Linked DNA regions of Pelodiscus sinensis. The protein of the gene in region 1 purifies or fractionates together with the protein of each later gene. This does not show direct contact. Links are inferred from orthologs where the notes say so. Each region holds a gene or a part of one and is shown in the gene's direction. Other genes may lie near its edges.

The links. Proteins that work in one complex are often made in the same cells at the same time.
Region 2: the proteins of YBX1 (region 1) and G3BP1 purify together in Homo sapiens (affinity purification with mass spectrometry; 3 studies listed by BioGRID and IntAct, with this or other methods). This does not show direct contact. The link is inferred for Pelodiscus sinensis from reciprocal best matches to the Homo sapiens genes YBX1 and G3BP1.

Annotation. Positions count from the first base shown.
Region 1 is NC_134733.1:3,158,464-3,166,477, reverse strand, and holds the start of YBX1 (Y-box-binding protein 1), read left to right. Parts: upstream 1-5,001; 5' UTR 5,002-5,161; coding exon 5,162-5,318; intron 5,319-5,679; coding exon 5,680-5,743; intron 5,744-8,014. UniProt on the Homo sapiens protein: DNA- and RNA-binding protein involved in various processes, such as translational repression, RNA stabilization, mRNA splicing, DNA repair and transcription regulation.
Region 2 is NC_134727.1:36,251,751-36,259,399, forward strand, and holds the start of G3BP1 (ras GTPase-activating protein-binding protein 1), read left to right. Parts: upstream 1-4,633; 5' UTR 4,634-4,778; intron 4,779-7,649. UniProt on the Homo sapiens protein: Protein involved in various processes, such as stress granule formation and innate immunity. Plays an essential role in stress granule formation.

The DNA of each region.
Region 1 (8,014 bases):
GTATATATTTTCTGTCTAGGAGACAGCAGTAGGCATTGACCACAAATTGCGGGTGGTGGTGGCCCAATGAATAGTGAATGCTTCATGGGCAAAGGCTCGTAAGTGTTGCCAATTGACACCTGAGGAGCATACAATGGCCCTTTGCCTCGGGAGCACATACCTGGATACTCCATGGCTTCCTGCCCATAAAGGACACGGTGATCATGTGATCAGCTCCATTTTGGGAGGTACCATTACTCAGGAGAATAATGGATTTCTCTTTGCATGGACAAGCTTATAACAGTATCCTGGGGGTGCCTATATCTTTGTCTTCACTCTCGCTCTCTGCTCCAGAAGCACCTTTGCTGAGGACAGAGAGCCGGGAAGGAGTGTTCATAGAATCATAGAGCTGGAAGAGACCCCAGAAGGTCATCAAGTCCAGCCCCCTGCTCTAGACTAAATCAACCCGGCCAGGGCTTTGCCAAGCCGAGACTCAAACACCTCTAGGGATGGAGACTCCACTACTTCTCTAGGTAACCCATTCCAGTGCTTCACTACCCTCCTAGGGAAAGAGTTTTTCCTAATATCCAACCTGGACCTCTCCCACCACAACTTGAGACCATTGCTCCTTGTTCTGCCATCCATCACTACTGAGAACACCCTTTCTCCATCCTCTTTGGAATCTCCCTTCAGGAAGTTGAAGGCTGCCATCAAATCCCCCCTCACTCTTCGCTTCTGCAGACTAAACAGACCCAACTCCCTCAGCCTCTCCTCATAAGTCAGATGCTCTAGCCTCCTAATCATTTTGGTTGTCCTCTGCTGGACCCTCTCCTACCTTTTTGTAGTGGGGAGCCCAGAACTGGACACAATACTCCAGATGTGGCCTCACCAAAGCCAAATAAAGGGGAATAATGACATCTCTAGATCTGCTGGCAATGCTCCTCTTAATGCAACCTAATATGCTATTAGCCTTCTTGGATACAAGGGCACACTTTTGACTCATATCCAGCTCCTCATCCATTGTAACCCCCAGGTCCTTTTCTGCAGAACTACTACTTAACCGGTTGGTCCCCAGCTTGTAACTATGCTTGGGATTCTTCCGTCCCAAGTGCAGGACTCTACACTTGTCCTTTTGAACCTCATCAGATTTCTTGTGGCCCAATCCTCCAATTTGTCTAAATCACTCTGGATCCTATCTCTGCCCTGAAGCGTATCTACCTATCCCCCAGCTTAGTATCATCCGCAAACTTGCTGAGAGTGCAATCCATCCCGTAATCTAGGTCATTAATAAAGATATTGAACAAAACCGGTCCTAGAACCGAACCTTGGGGCACTCTGCTAGAAACCGACCGCCATTCTGACATCGAGATGTTGCTCACTACCTGCTGGGCCTGGCCTTCTAGCCATCTTTCTATCCATCTTACCGTCCATTTATCCAATCCACATTCCCTTAACTTCCTGGCAAGAATGTTGTGGGAGACCGTATCAAAAGCCTTGTTAAGTCAAGGTATATCACATCCACTGACTTTCCCATATCCACAGAGCCAGTTACCGCATCATAGAAGCTAATCAGATTGGTCAGGCACGACTTGCCCTTTGTGAATCCATGCTGACTATTCCTAATCACCTTCCTTTCTTCCAAGTGCCTCAAAATGGATTCCTTAAGGATCCCTTCCATGATTTTTCCAGGGACCGAGGTAAGACTGACCGGCCTGTAGTTCCCTGGATCGTCCTTCTTCCCTTTTTTGAAGATGGGCACTACATTTGCCTTTTTCCAATCATCCGGGATTTCTCCCGATCTCCACAATTTTTCAAAGATAATGGCCAAAGGCTCCTCAATGACATTTGCCAACTCCCTCAGTACCCTCGATGCATTAAGTTGGGACCCACAGATTTGTATACGTTTAGCTTTTCTAAATAGTTCCTAACCTGTTCTTTACCCACAAAGGGCTGTCCATCTTCATCCCATCTTGTGTCACTTAGCGCATTAGTCTGAGTGCCCACCTTGTCCATGAATACAGAGGCAAAGAAAGCATTGAGTATTTCAGCTTTCCCCACATCATCTGTCACTAGCTTACCTCCTTCATCGAGTAGGGGCCCCACACCCTCTCTGATCACCTTTTTCTTGTTAACATGACTGTAGAAACCTTTCTTGTTATCCTTCACATCCTTAGCCAGTCGCAATTCCATTTGCGCTTTCACCTTCCTGATAACCCCCCGGAATTCTTGAGCTAGACATTTAAACCCCTCCCTGGTCATTTGTCCAAGTTTCCACTTTTTGTAAGCTTCCTTTTTGTGCTTAAGTTCACCAAGGATTTCTCCTGTAAGCCAATCCAGTCTCCTACCATGTTTGCCTCTCTTGCTACGCATAGGGCTGGTTACTTTCTGTGCCTTCAATAAAGCTTCTTTAAAATACTGCCAGCTGTCCTAGACTCCTTTCCCCTTCATGTTAGCATCCCAGGGGATTCTGCCCATCAGGTCTTCGAGGGAGTCAAAATCCGCTTTTTTTGAAGTCCAAGGTGTGTATTTTACTATTCTCTTTTCTTTCTTTGGTCAGTATCCTGAAATCTACCTTCTCATGATCACTGCTTCCCAGGTTGTCACCTGTTTGTCCAATGTACATAGCAGACGGACACTTTCGGCACATGATAGCATAAATTATATTTCTGGATGCGCAGGAATGTGTGTTCTTGATCTTATAACTCACTTGGTTAGGTCCAACAATGGTATCAGCAGAATGAATATGTGGACAAAGCTGGCAACGGGGTTTGTTGCAAGGGAAGGTACCAGGGTTGGTCTTAGTGTGGTATGTCCTGTGGTTGTTGGTAAGAATCATCTTGAGGTTAGGTGGTTGTCTATAGGAGACTATGGGTCTGTCTCCCAGAGCCTCTTGGGGTATGGTATCCTGTTCCAGTGTTGCCGGCACACAGTGCCCGAGGGGGGCAACAGCTGGGTTTGTTGCCCGGTGTGCGCGCTCCAATAAACACACCGGTGTGGAGAAGCCAAAAAAAATTTATTTGAACGCTCAAATAGGTTCCAGGAGACATCTCAGGTCAGGCACACCAACGTAAGCAGTTTTCCCTCCTTATATACCCAGGTTGTTTACTTGCAGGAGAATAGTGAACTGTAGCAAGTTTCCCAGGCTGGGACATGCTGCCAGTCCCCCTCCTCCTCCTCTACAGAAACACATCTGAATTCTTCTTCTATACCACTGATAGTAACTAGGCAACTTTCAATGTCTTGCTGTTCCCAGCTGTTAGCGAGCTAGAGAAAAGTTATGTCTCGGGGGGGAAGGGGGCTTTTAGGGTGCTTGGGCCTAGAGCGGGGGCTCTTCATCGATCCTTGTGATCTTCCACTCCCCCGAGTTACCTAGGATCATGCCCAGTGACTCCAACACCAGTATAGGCTGTAGCTTATTGATAATGTGTTGGCCCCTTGGTAATGAATACACAACAGCAGGGAAATGCACGGTTCTGAGCAATTCTTCAATTCTTCAGTCCACTTAGGTGGAGTTGTAGAGGGTGTGGCTCACAGCCTAATATCATGGATTGGACAGCCAGGGGAGCAGATCACATTGGCAAATAGGAATATCCTTTTAGATCATTTATGTACAAAGCAACTTCCATCTCCTAGCACACACAGCAGTGATACAAGCTACCTGTAAAAGCGGCGAGGAGTCCTGTGGCACCTTATAGACTAACTGAAGTGTTGGAGCATAAGCTTTCGTGGGCAAAGACCCCCAGGACTCCTCACCGCTTTTGCAGATTCAGACTAACACGGCTACCCCTCTGATACAAGCTACCAGTGGAGCAAAAAGCACTGTTGGGTCCTAGTCCTGATTCTCACAGTCTGGATCTTCAATTCTACTGCCATCAGCCAGCCTCTACCACTGTCCAGCTGCTCCTGGTGGTGGAGGGCCTTGGACTCACAGCCCTGCCCTCTGCAAGCAAATGCCTTAACCCCAGCCCACTCCACCTCCCTATCTTCCAGGGGGTCCCTTATCCTGCTTTCCTAATGCAGGAGCTAGGTTAATCCCTGGGGCAGACGGTGTTAGCTGCCCTGTTGCTGGGTGGGTGGGTGTGGGATTGAGCCCACCATCTTGTGCTCCAAAGGCTGAAGCCCTAGCTCCAAGTTCACTGTAAATCCCAGTCCACCCCCCTACCTTCAGTGGGTCCCTTATCATGCTTTCCAAATTGGAGAGCTGGCTCCATTCCTGGGGTGGCCTGTGTTAACTGGCTATATTATTCTAGCTAGAAACCATCTTCCAAGCCTAGAAGTGCTCAGGCCTCAGGGGACTTCTCTCAGACTGATGGGATCTGCTCAGATTCACATCAGGGCCCTTCAAGGAACATGTGTGAAGGTGCTTCATATGAGACAGGAATAGTGTGTGTGTGTGTGGGGGGTTGGAGCTGGGCTGAGAGACATGCTGGGGGGCTTCTGGGGGCTAGGCTGGGGTGTGCCGGTTTTGTACCAATAGCAAGGTGGCAGTCCTATTTGCCAGCGAGAAGGCAGAGACTTCCCCTTAGACTGGGCGCCGCGGGGCTGTGTGCGGAGGCGAGGGCCAGGCTGCCCCAGCTCCGACCTGAGCACGTGCCCCTAGATAACTGCACGAGTTCAACCGAGGCCACGTGCTCCGGCCCGCGCCCTTCCGCTCCCTCCCAGGTGCAGAAGGCGGGATCACAGGGATGCTGCACCAACCACGCTCCAAAAGGGAGGAGTAACGAACCAGGCCGAAACAAGTCCCGGCAGCCGTGATTCGTGCAGCCAATGGGTGTACGCGTTGTATGATGGGCAGGCTCGACGGCCAATGGGCGCTAGCAAAAATGTGGCCGGGATAAGAACACCTAATAACGGAGCGCGTTCTATGATGGGCGAGAGCCACAGCCAACGGGTGTGACAAGCCCCTGAGGGCGGATTTCTAAAAGCCAATGGGTTTGCACGATCCGTGACGGGCAAGCTCCGCAGCCAGTGAAAGAGCTAGTGGGCGGTGCGTGCTGGGTGGCTAGCCGGTGCGGGCCGCCATTGTGGTCAGTTCGATCGGTATCGGGAGCGGAGAGCGGAGCCCAGCGAGCCCGGAGCAGGGAGCAGCCCCCCCCCCACGGCCGGCCCCAGTCACCATCACACTGCGGGAGGCGGCGCAACAGCCAGTCACCACCACCGTCCGCACCGAACAGCCGCCGCCATGAGCAGCGAGGCCGAGACCCAGCCGCCCGCCGCCCCTCTTCCCGCGGCGGCGCCCACCGCCCCCGCCGAGTCCAAACCTAACGGCGGCACAGGCAACGGTGGCAGCGGCCTGGCCTCGGCGGCGCCCCCCGCCGGCGGGGACAAGAAGGTCATCGGTGAGGGGGCTGAGGGGGGGAAGGGGAGGGGTCTGTGGGCGTCATCCCTCCTCCCCCGCAGGAAGGCGCGAGACCCCTGTCTGGTGCGCGCGCAGTGGCCGTTAGGCCCCCGCGCGCCGCTTGAGCCGTTGAGCCCCGCGTGCGGCGGCGGATGGGGGCGGGGCGGGCGCGGAGCCACTCAAAATGTCCGCCACGCGGGGCCTTTGTGTGAAACCCGCTTAGCCACGTGCCTGCCCGGGGCCCCCGGCGCGCGGTGCGGTGCGGCCCGGCCCGCCTGCCTCGCTGAGCCCGCGGTGGGGAGCCTGGCTCGGCGGCCCTGCGTGGGCGGGGCGTCACGTGACTGTCACGTTTTCCCTTTCAGCAACGAAGGTTTTGGGAACAGTAAAATGGTTCAACGTAAGAAACGGCTACGGCTTCATCAACAGGTGAGGAGCAAGGTGCCCAGGGCCAGGCCTGCGCCACGTGCGCCTTGCCCGGGGGAGGAGCGGCCTCAGCTGGGACCGTGCCTCTGTCACGCTGCTCGCCGAGCAGGCCCCCTCTGGCAAACGGCTTAGTGCTGAGGTGACTCGCCTGGGGAATGCATCTGACGAAGTGGGTCTTTGCCCACGCAAGCTTATGCTCCTACACTGCAGTTAGTCTATAAGGTGCCACAGGACTCCTCGTCGCTTTTGCAGATTCAGACTAACACAGCGACCCCTCTGATACTGGCCTGGGGAATGGGTTTGATGGCTGCTGCAGACCTTCCCCAGGGGGACGGTTCACTCTTCATGCCTCTTTCCCACCCAGCGCTGCTCTCACGAGGGTTGCTCTTCCAAATCCTTACTACTGAGTTTTCCACGAAAGCAGATAAGAAATCGAATGGTAGTAACGCCCGGTATCCCTCCCTAGAACAGCACAACTAAGACAGTGGGCTGTCATCATAGCCTCGTGTTTTGACATGTGGCCTGACGTCTGCAAGTGTTGTTCTGGTTGAGATTCTGGGTGGTATTTCCATGTAAACATTGGATCAGAATGAGATTATAGTTTCTGTAACCTTTTCACAGGTATTGTAGGGAATGTGTGCGATTCGAACATGACCTGACCTCCTGTCCCATTGAGCTTTTCACAGAAGCAATAACAGTTAAGATAGGTGTCCACTCTGTCTTCTAGATTTATTGTCTTGAAGTGTTTTTAATAAATTGGTTTCAATGGGGATATTTACTCAGTGTTGGAAGTAGTTTGATTTTTCATAGTTATCATTCTTTGATCCTTTAAGATGGTTTTTAAAGGTATAACACTTTGGTTCATGTTGTGTGTTAATACTTGTTTGATTCTAAGCTGTGTATAAATGTATACAAGTGATAAGCCTTAATAGCAGACTTAATTAGGTATTGATATTTGCATTAGTATTTTCAAAATTCATTTGACTGTAAGTTGGGATTGGTCTTGCCTAGAGCAGGAGGCTGGACTTGATGACCACCTGAGGTCTTTTCCAGCTCTATGATTCGATAAGCATAGTAATTTACACTGAGTTTACTTTAATTTTTAATTATTGTGCTCAGAAATGTCACTTAGAGTATGCTCTGTTTTCAGTGCCAACTGAACTATAAAGAGCATGCTGACTTACAAAGGTCTGGGTCAGTAGCTTTAAACTCATTTGGTTAGAACTTTTGTGCAAAGTTGGATTTTTAAATATCTTTTAAACACTATTACAAGGAACTTCTAAGATGGTCAATACTGCAAAAAGCTAGAATTTTCTGTATTTTGGAATTTCTTAACTTCGTGCATTTGATAGCACTTCATTTAAATACCATTTTCACTGTTTGCTTTATGCTGTCAATTAGCAAGGGAGACTGAGAAATACCTTATAAAATGCTGCATTTTAAATAAAACATTTTGCACAAGGGGTTTTCTGAATGAATTTTAAAATGTCAGCGTATGTTTTCTAAAGAATTGTCAGAAAATTAAAAAAACTGGATATAGTGTAATGTACTCAAAGTATTCTGTTGAAGTTTGGAATATTTTAAGAACTGTTAGTCCTTGTGATGGAATCTCTTGAGTGACTCAGCAGAGGTGCTTTAAGTGCTGGGTGCATATTAATAAGATGCAAAGTTCCTTTACAGCTCAATTCTGGAAGTTTTCTGCATGTAGAGCTCTCATTGAAGGCAGTGGGTGTTTTGCGAAGAGGTGGAGAATAATGCCCTTAGTTATTCTCCTTTCCTCCTTATTACTTTTCATAATCCATTTATTGTTTTGAAAGGTGTACAGTAGAACCTAAATTATTTGGGAGGCTCATACTATCTGAACCTGTCACTCAAGGTCATGTGAAATAACACAATAAGCAATTATAGACAACAGTTGACTTTATTGTACAAATAAGATGTTTGTTTACTTTTAGTGAGCCAGAGTGCACACACTTCAAGCTGCTTTTGCTAACTTCTCTTAATAGGATATGTAGGAGCTAGTGTTGACAAAGCAAACTACTTTGAATTCCTTATTCATCCTGGGTGCAAGTGCAGTGCTCTGATATGTTCATAAAGATGGCTGGATTATGTAAAAGATCAATATGTAATTGGCTTTGCGCACACATAATTCAGAGTTCCCTCTAAGATGCATGGCTTTGTAGGTGCCTGATGAGCCAATGGAAGCTATTGTGGAGGAGGGAAAGGTGCCTTTTCCCTGGTTGCAGTAGCTCCTTGCTAAGACTGGAGGAGAAA
Region 2 (7,649 bases), on another chromosome or scaffold:
GTAAAAGTAGGTGCTGATGTGACCCTTTCCGCAAGCGTGGGGGTTATCTGAGAGACCGTGCTGCTGTGGGCCTCTCTGCTGTTTGTCCTCCCAGCTGTGGGGCAGGGTTATTTTACACGGCTGCCCCTTGGCTTGTACTAAACTCTGCAAAGGCCTTGCTACTGATCTATGAGCTGGCAGCTTGCAATGTGGCTCAGGATATAAATAGTAAAAAAAAAAAAAAAAAAAAGCGGGGGGGGAATATTAATGCTGAGGATGGCATAATGCCAGCCTAGTGACTGTAAATCTCCCTGCAAGAAACTAGGGAAGGAGATTCATACAGTGGCTGCCTGCTAGGGGAACAAGAGGCATTAAGTCCTGGCTATAGGGTCAGGTGTTACCCTTGCTCCCCCTCCCAAGCAACATCACTGATTTAGCGCTGCACAGGATGTAGGTGAAGGGAAATTTTGGCCCTTTGGCAGACAGTTTGGTCCAAGCAAGTGTCCACCACCTCCACAGCAAAACCAAACATGTGCCTTAGGAAACTGACTTCAAGCCCTGACTGCTTTTACTTTGTGGAAGCAAGGCTGTGGTACGAAAGTTGCTGTGCCTTCTGGGGCTCTTTTATCCTTTCAGGTGACGACATGCAATGTGACATGGATTTTATGGGATGGATCAGTAACGGGGCATCTCTTTCCACTTGGAGAGTGGTATTTTTAGGGTAGAGCACTGATGAGGCAATGCAAAAACCTGAACCTCTGCCTTATCAAAGCTTTCAGAGCAAGTTTCAGTTGGCTTGATTTCTCTGTTTCAGTAAGAAATTGCAAAAGAGGAAAAAGAAATTGCTGCTGCACAGACAGGTGAACTGTGTTATTTGTTTTCTCATCTAGATGCTCCTGCGGGCTCACCAGTCTGAGTGTAGTGGGTGATCTGATTTCCAAGTGGACTTGTTACTTGGGATGTTGGCTGGGAAGCCTCAGGATGGAGTTTTGTGTCCAGTGGGAATGGATTTGATCATATTCCTATGCTGAAACCTCTTAAGAGAAGGTTGAGCATTTTCCCAGGAGGTTACGGGATCTGTGACGATCAAGCTGGTAGGGCTGTATGCGCAGGGAGCCCTGGGTGGAAAGAGAACCTTTTAGAGGATGCAGTGTCCGCCCCGAAGGTTCATTCTTGGTGCTACTGAACTTTGATATTGCACCACCCAGTGTGGCAGTCCCAAGGAAATAATGGGAATGGAGACAGTTTAGTGCTTTGCACAATGTGGAGGAATCTTCCAGGAAGACTGGGATGGTGGGAGAAAGCACAGAGTGACCAGGATGATCTGAGCCGCACAAATGCCCAGGTGAAGACAGGTGACAATACCTGTCTGGGCCATATGGCGCTACAGAGTCCGGATGTGCCAGGGAGGAAGGGGTGGCTGGACTGGGCTGGGTTTTGAAGGTTGGGAAAGCCATGGCCTGGATGGGCTGTGTCAGAATGGGTGACCAGCCAGCTTGTGGTTTGGAGGCTGGGTGAGGCCTTGACCCAGCATTGAAGATGGACACCCTGGGCCAGAAGTAGCTGACCAGGCCGTACTGTGGTAGAGAGGCTGGGTGAGGCCTTGGCTCTGTGGAAGGCAGGCTGTGCAGAGAACTGGAGGCTGCAAGTGGTGGGATCAGCACGTGACTGATGGAAGGCCGGCTGTGCAGAGGTCCCAAGGCTGGACACCGTGGATTCAGCGGGTGATTGGGTCGTGCTGAGTCAGGCTGGGCCCCACAGAGACTGGCTGTGGCAGGTTCAGTGGGTGACGGGGCAGTACAGTAATATGGAGGCGGGGTGAGGCTGGGCCTTGTGGAGGCTGGGTTTGGCAGGTGACTGGGCCCCGGGTAGGCTAGCTCTGGCGGGTTCAGTGGGTGATGGGGCCATACAGTGGTATAGAGGCCAGCTATGAATGGTCTGGTGGGTGGAAGGGCCAAACAGTGGTATGGAGGCTGGGTAAGGCTGGCTGTGGTGGGTTTGGCAGGTGTCAGGGTCATACAGTGGTAGGGAGGCTGGGAGAGGGTAGGCCCTAGGGAGACCAGCTGTGGCAGGTTCAGTGGGTGACTGGGCCATACGGTGGTATTGAGGCTGGGCCCCAGGGAGGCCGGCTGTAGCAGCTTTGGAGGGTGGTGGAGCTGTACAGTGGTGCGGAGACTGAGGGAGGCCAACTGTGTGGTCAGCAGGTGGCGGGGCCGTACAGTGTTACAGAGGCTGGGGGAGGCTGGCTGTGGTGGATTCAGTGGATGGTGGGGATGTACAGTGGTACAGAGGCTGAGGGAAGCTGGCTGTAGCAGGGCCGTATGGAGGCTAGGACCAGCTGTGGTGGGTTTAGGGGATGGTGGCAGGTTTGGTGGAGGCGGGGCCATATGGTGGTGAGGAGGCTGTCTGTGGTGGGGCTGTACGGTGGTGGCCGTACGGTGGTAGGCAGGCTGGGGAAAAGGGGTCGGCGGCGGTGGGTTTGGCAGTGGCGGCCGTACAGTGGTAGGGAGGCCGGGGGGGTCAGTGGTGGCGGGTTTGGGGGAGGCGGCCGGATGGTGGTAGGGAGGCGGGGGGGAGGGTCGGCAGTGGTGGGTTCGGGGTTGGCAGCCATATGGTGGTAGGGAGGCCGGGAGGGGGGCATTCTGGAGCTGTACGGTGGTAGGGAGCCTGGTGGGGGGGTTGGCGATGGCGGGGCTGTACGGTGGTAGGGAGCCTGGTGGGGGGGTTGGCGATGGCGGGGCTGTGCGGTGGTAGGGAGGCGGGGGGGGGTTCTGGAGCCGTGCGGTGGTAGGGAAGCGGGGGGGGTTCTGGAGCCGTGCGGTGGTAGGGAGGCGGGGGGGGGGGTTCTGGAGCCGTGCGGTGGTAGGGAGGCGGGGGGGGTTCTGGAGCCGTGCGGTGGTAGGCAGACGGGGGGGGGTTCTGGAGCCGTGCGGTGGTAGGGAGGCGGGGGGGGGGTTCTGGAGCCGTGTGTGGTAGGGAGGCGGGGGGGTTCTGGAGCCGTGCGGTGGTAGGGAGGCGGGGGGGGGGGTTCTGGAGCCGTGCGGTGGTAGGGAGGCGGGGGAGGGGGGGGTTCTGGAGCCGTGCTGTGGTAGGGAGGCGGGGGGGGGGGTTCTGGAGCCGTGCGGTGGTAGGGAGGCGGGGGAGGGGGTTCTGGAGCCGTGCGGTGGTAGGGAGGCGGGGGGGGTTCTGGAGCCGTGCGGTGGTAGGGAGGCGGGGGAGGGGGTTCTGGAGCCGTGCGGTGGTAGGGAGGCGGGGGGGGGGTTCTGGAGCCGTGCGGTGGTAGGGAGGCGGGGGGGGGTTCTGGAGCCGTGCGGTGGTAGGGAGGCGGGGGGAGGGGGTTCTGGAGCCGTGCGGTGGTAGGGAGGCGGGGGGAGGGGGTTCTGGAGCCGTGCGGTGGTAGGGAGGCGGGGGGGAGGGGGTTCTGGAGCCGTGCGGTGGTAGGGAGGCGGGGGGGGGGTTCTGGAGCCGTGCGGTGGTAGGGAGGCGGGGGAGGGGGTTCTGGAGCCGTGCGGTGGTAGGGAGGCGGGGGGGGTTCTGGAGCCGTACGGTGGTAGGGAGGCGGGGGGGAGGGGGTTCTGGAGCCGTGCGGTGGTAGGGAGGCGGGGGGGGTTCTGGAGCCGTGCGGTGGTAGGGAGGCGGGGGGGGTTCTGGAGCCGTGCGGTGGTAGGGAGGCGGGGGGGAGGGGGTTCTGGAGCCGTGCGGTGGTAGGGAGGCGGGGGGGGTTCTGGAGCCGTGCGGTGGTAGGGAGGCGGGGGGGAGGGGGTTCTGGAGCCGTGCGGTGGTAGGGAGGCGGGGGGGGTTCTGGAGCCGTGCGGCGGTAGGGAGGCGGGGGGGAGGGGGTTCTGGAGCCGTGCGGTGGTAGGGAGGCGGGGGGGGTTCTGGAGCCGTGCGGCGGTAGGGAGGCGGGGGGGAGGGGGTTCTGGAGCCGTGCGGTGGTAGGGAGGCGGGGGGGAGGGGGTTCTGGAGCCGTGCGGTGGTAGGGAGGCGGGGGGGAGGGGGTTCTGGAGCCGTGCGGCGGTAGGGAGGCGGGGAGGGGGGTTCTGGAGCCGTGCGGTGGTAGGCAGGCGGGGGGGGGGTCACGGTGACCCAGGGGGCGGGGCCAGAGCAGCTGGGGGGAGCAGCACGTGGCCTGGTGCAGCAGGTGGGGGGAGGCGCGGGCGGCCCTTCCCCCCGTGGGGCGGGGCCCGGCTGCCGGCCGGGGGCGGGCTGACTCTGCCTCGGTGCCGCCTTTCCCTTTAAGAGCCTGTCGCGTGCGGCCTGTCAGTCAGGGCCAGCCGGGCTTCCTAATTGGCTGCGGCGCCCAGACCCGAAACGAGTGCCGGCCCTGTCTAAAACGGGGTTTACCTAGCCTGATCTCCAGGGCGCCGCTCTACGGCGTAACCACCCTACGCGGGCACCTTACCTCCGCCTCGTCCAACTTTCACCTCATAGCGAAAGTTGCGTCGCCTTATTGGTCACCGGGGGAGTCAGTCGAGCTTTATCCCGCCCTAGGGGCTGCCATTTCAACGCCTGTTGGCTGGTTCTTACGTCGCTCACCTAACGGCGTCCTGCCTCACGGCAGTGCCGATAGGGTGCGTTCGATGCCACTCACGAAGCACCGCCCTGCTTTGGCGGCCCTGGCCAAACGGCGTCCGAGCTGCGAAGTGCGGCGCTCGGTGATTGGCTGGCGCGGTGCGGCGGGGTTAGGCTGCGCGCCGGATATATGCAGCCGGCGGGTGAGCACGCCGTTGCGTGAGGTTTTGCCATTGCCCGGCCGGCCTGTCGCGAAGCCTCCTGCTCCAGTCCCGCTCCGTCCGCAGGTAACGGGGGGGCCCTGCCGCGCCCCCTCCTCGCGCCCCGCGGGGGGGGCTCCTGCCCCGGCGTCACGGGCACGCGCGGGCTCGGCGCCGCTCGGCGGGCCGGGGGGAGGGGAAGGAAGCTGGGACCCCCCCCCCGGCCGGGCCCGCTTGGGGGCAGGGCGCGGGGGGGGCGCCCCTCGTGGGGGGGGGGGTCTCCGGCACCGCGCTGCGTGCAGGGCTGGGGGTGGCCCGGGGCGGTAATTCAGCGTGTGGGAATGGTGGGGGCGGGCCGGGGGGGGCTGGGGGTGTGGTTCACTGCGGGGGGGGCTGGGAGCGGGGCTGTAATTCATGGGCACAGGGTGAGAGTGGGGGGGCACATGGGGCAATAATGCACTCGGGACGGGGGTATCTGGGGGTGTAATTCACTGGGGACAGGGTGCGAATGGGGGGGGTGGCGGCCTGGGGGTGTAATTCACTGGGGGCAGGGTGCGAATGGGGGGGGTGGCGGCCTGGGGGTGTAATTCACTGGGGGCAGGGTTGGAATGGGGGGGGTAGCGGCCTGGGGGTGTAATTCACTGGGGGCAGGGTTGGAATGGGGGGGGTGGCGGCCTGGGGGTGTAATTCACTGCGGGCAGGGTTGGAATGGGGTGGGGTGGCGGCCTGGGGGTGTAATTCACTGCGGGCAGGGTTGGAATGGGGGGTGGCGGCCTGGGGGTGTAATTCACTGGGGGCAGGGTTGGAATGGGGGGTGGCGGCCTGGGGGTGTAATTCACTGGGGGCAGGGTTGGAATGGGGGGGGGGTAGCGGCCTGGGGGTGTAATTCACTGGGGGCAGGGTTGGAATGGGGGGGGTAGCGGCCTGGGGGTGTAATTCACTGCGGGCAGGGTTGGAATGGGGGGTGGCGGCCTGGGGGTGTAATTCACTGGGGGCAGGGTTGGAATGGGGGGGGGGGTGGCGGCCTGGGGGTGTAATTCACTGCGGGCAGGGTTGGAATGGGGGGTGGCGGCCTGGGGGTGTAATTCACTGGGGACAGGGTGCGAATGGGGGTGGGGGTGGCGGCCTGGGGGTGTAATTCAATGCGGACAGGGTTGGAATGGGGGGTGGTGGTCTGGGGGTGTAATTCACTGGGGACAGGGTGCGAATGGGGGTGGGGGTGGCGGCCTGGGGGTGTAATTAACTGCGGACAGGGTTGGAATGGGGGGGGGGGTAGCCCAGGCCTCCCGCAGCCTCCCTGCAAGGATCATCGTGCATGCAGGCCGAAGTAAGGGGGGGGGGGGGGCTGCCTGCTCTCTCGGGTGGTGCTGGGGGTTGAGAAACATCGAGCCGTCTGGGCTACAAAAACAAGCCGTTTCATGGAGCGGTTCCTGTGCTCTGAAAGCCCCAGTGTGTTTGGCACCATCGGTGTGAGAAGAACATTCCTCTGGCCGCACAGAAAGGAGTGACGCTGTGGAAAAGAGTAAACGTTGCTGGGGCTGTGGACAATAGGGATCCTTCTGAAAGCAAATATTTTAAGGGGGGGGGGAAGAGTTAGAGGAGGGACACAAACAGGAGGGAAGAAAACTTGGTTGTGTTAGGCTAGATACAAAGTGGCAACCTTTGTTCTGTGCTTTACATAGCTGGTGTGTTCTATCAAACAAAAACCTAAAATGCCTACACGTAGTAGCTACGCTGCAGAGCTTGTTCATGGATTAATGTGGCATAGAAAAATACCCACCCCTTGAGACATTTGTAGTCCTCTGTAAATCTCTGCATTGTACAAAGGAGGGTAAGTTTCACCCCTGCTTTACAAGTGGGGTAATATTGTCCTCTCTGTGGTATTAAATGATTTATCCAAGGTCACACAGCAAGACAATGGTGGAGCTGGGATTTTAAACCTAGAACTGCAAATAAGATAGTGTAAGAAGAGCTCCCAGTAACTTGGAAGGAAGGCCCCAGGCCTACTTGCTTGGGAAAGCCCTACCTGTATCATTGTTACTGAATCTGAATGTCTTGCATAGAGTTAGTGTATAAGGTTGTATTTGGAATTATTGCTTTGTGGTGGTTATCCATTGGTGAGACACTTACATTAAGCATTGTGAATATAATGTATTCCATGTTAAGTGGCACCTTCCTATTTAGATCTGAAAAGTGTTGGCAGCAAACAGCCATGTTTCCAGTCAGCTATTTTTGTCAGGCCTACCCTTTGAAACAAATGACAGCATTAGGAAATGTAGAAAGGCTACCAACTCCTGAACATTAACTTCCAGTTAGTATAAATAAAATAACTTGTGATGGATCTTCAGCCATTATGTAGTTCTTGCCAACAGTGTTTCTTGCTACTGAGGTTTAGGTTCTTCTGAAAACAGCATCTTCTATTCACTAGATCAGTCACTTCACTTAAAAGGGGTTAAGAAAACATGCCAAGTTCTCAAATACGATCTTAGGGAAAATTGAGAGTAAATTGCATTTTTTCTAATTAACTTAGATTCTCGGATGTATTCAGCAGTGTTATTGATAGTGGTAGAATGGGCACTCTCCTCAAGTCTTTTGAAAGATACTATACCTTTCTCTGCTGACTTGAAGTTAAATCCAGTCATGACTTGCAACAAAATGTCTAAATTGCAGCTGCTTGTTCAGGTGTAACTGGGTAGAATGTCACATTAAACTGGAAGTTTAAGTAGTTGGATAGGTAAAGAGTTGTGTGAAACAGTAATACTATTGTGAGAGATTCATGCATCTGTGTTCCTTTCTCAGTGTGTTTTAACATTAATATGCCTTAAGAACAATTGCTAAATCTAGTATGAAGCAAAATGCAGGACAATGTAGCACTTTAAAGACTAACAAGATGGTTTATTAGATGATGAGCTTTCGTGGGCCAGACCCACTTCCTCAGATCAAATAGTGGAAGAAAGT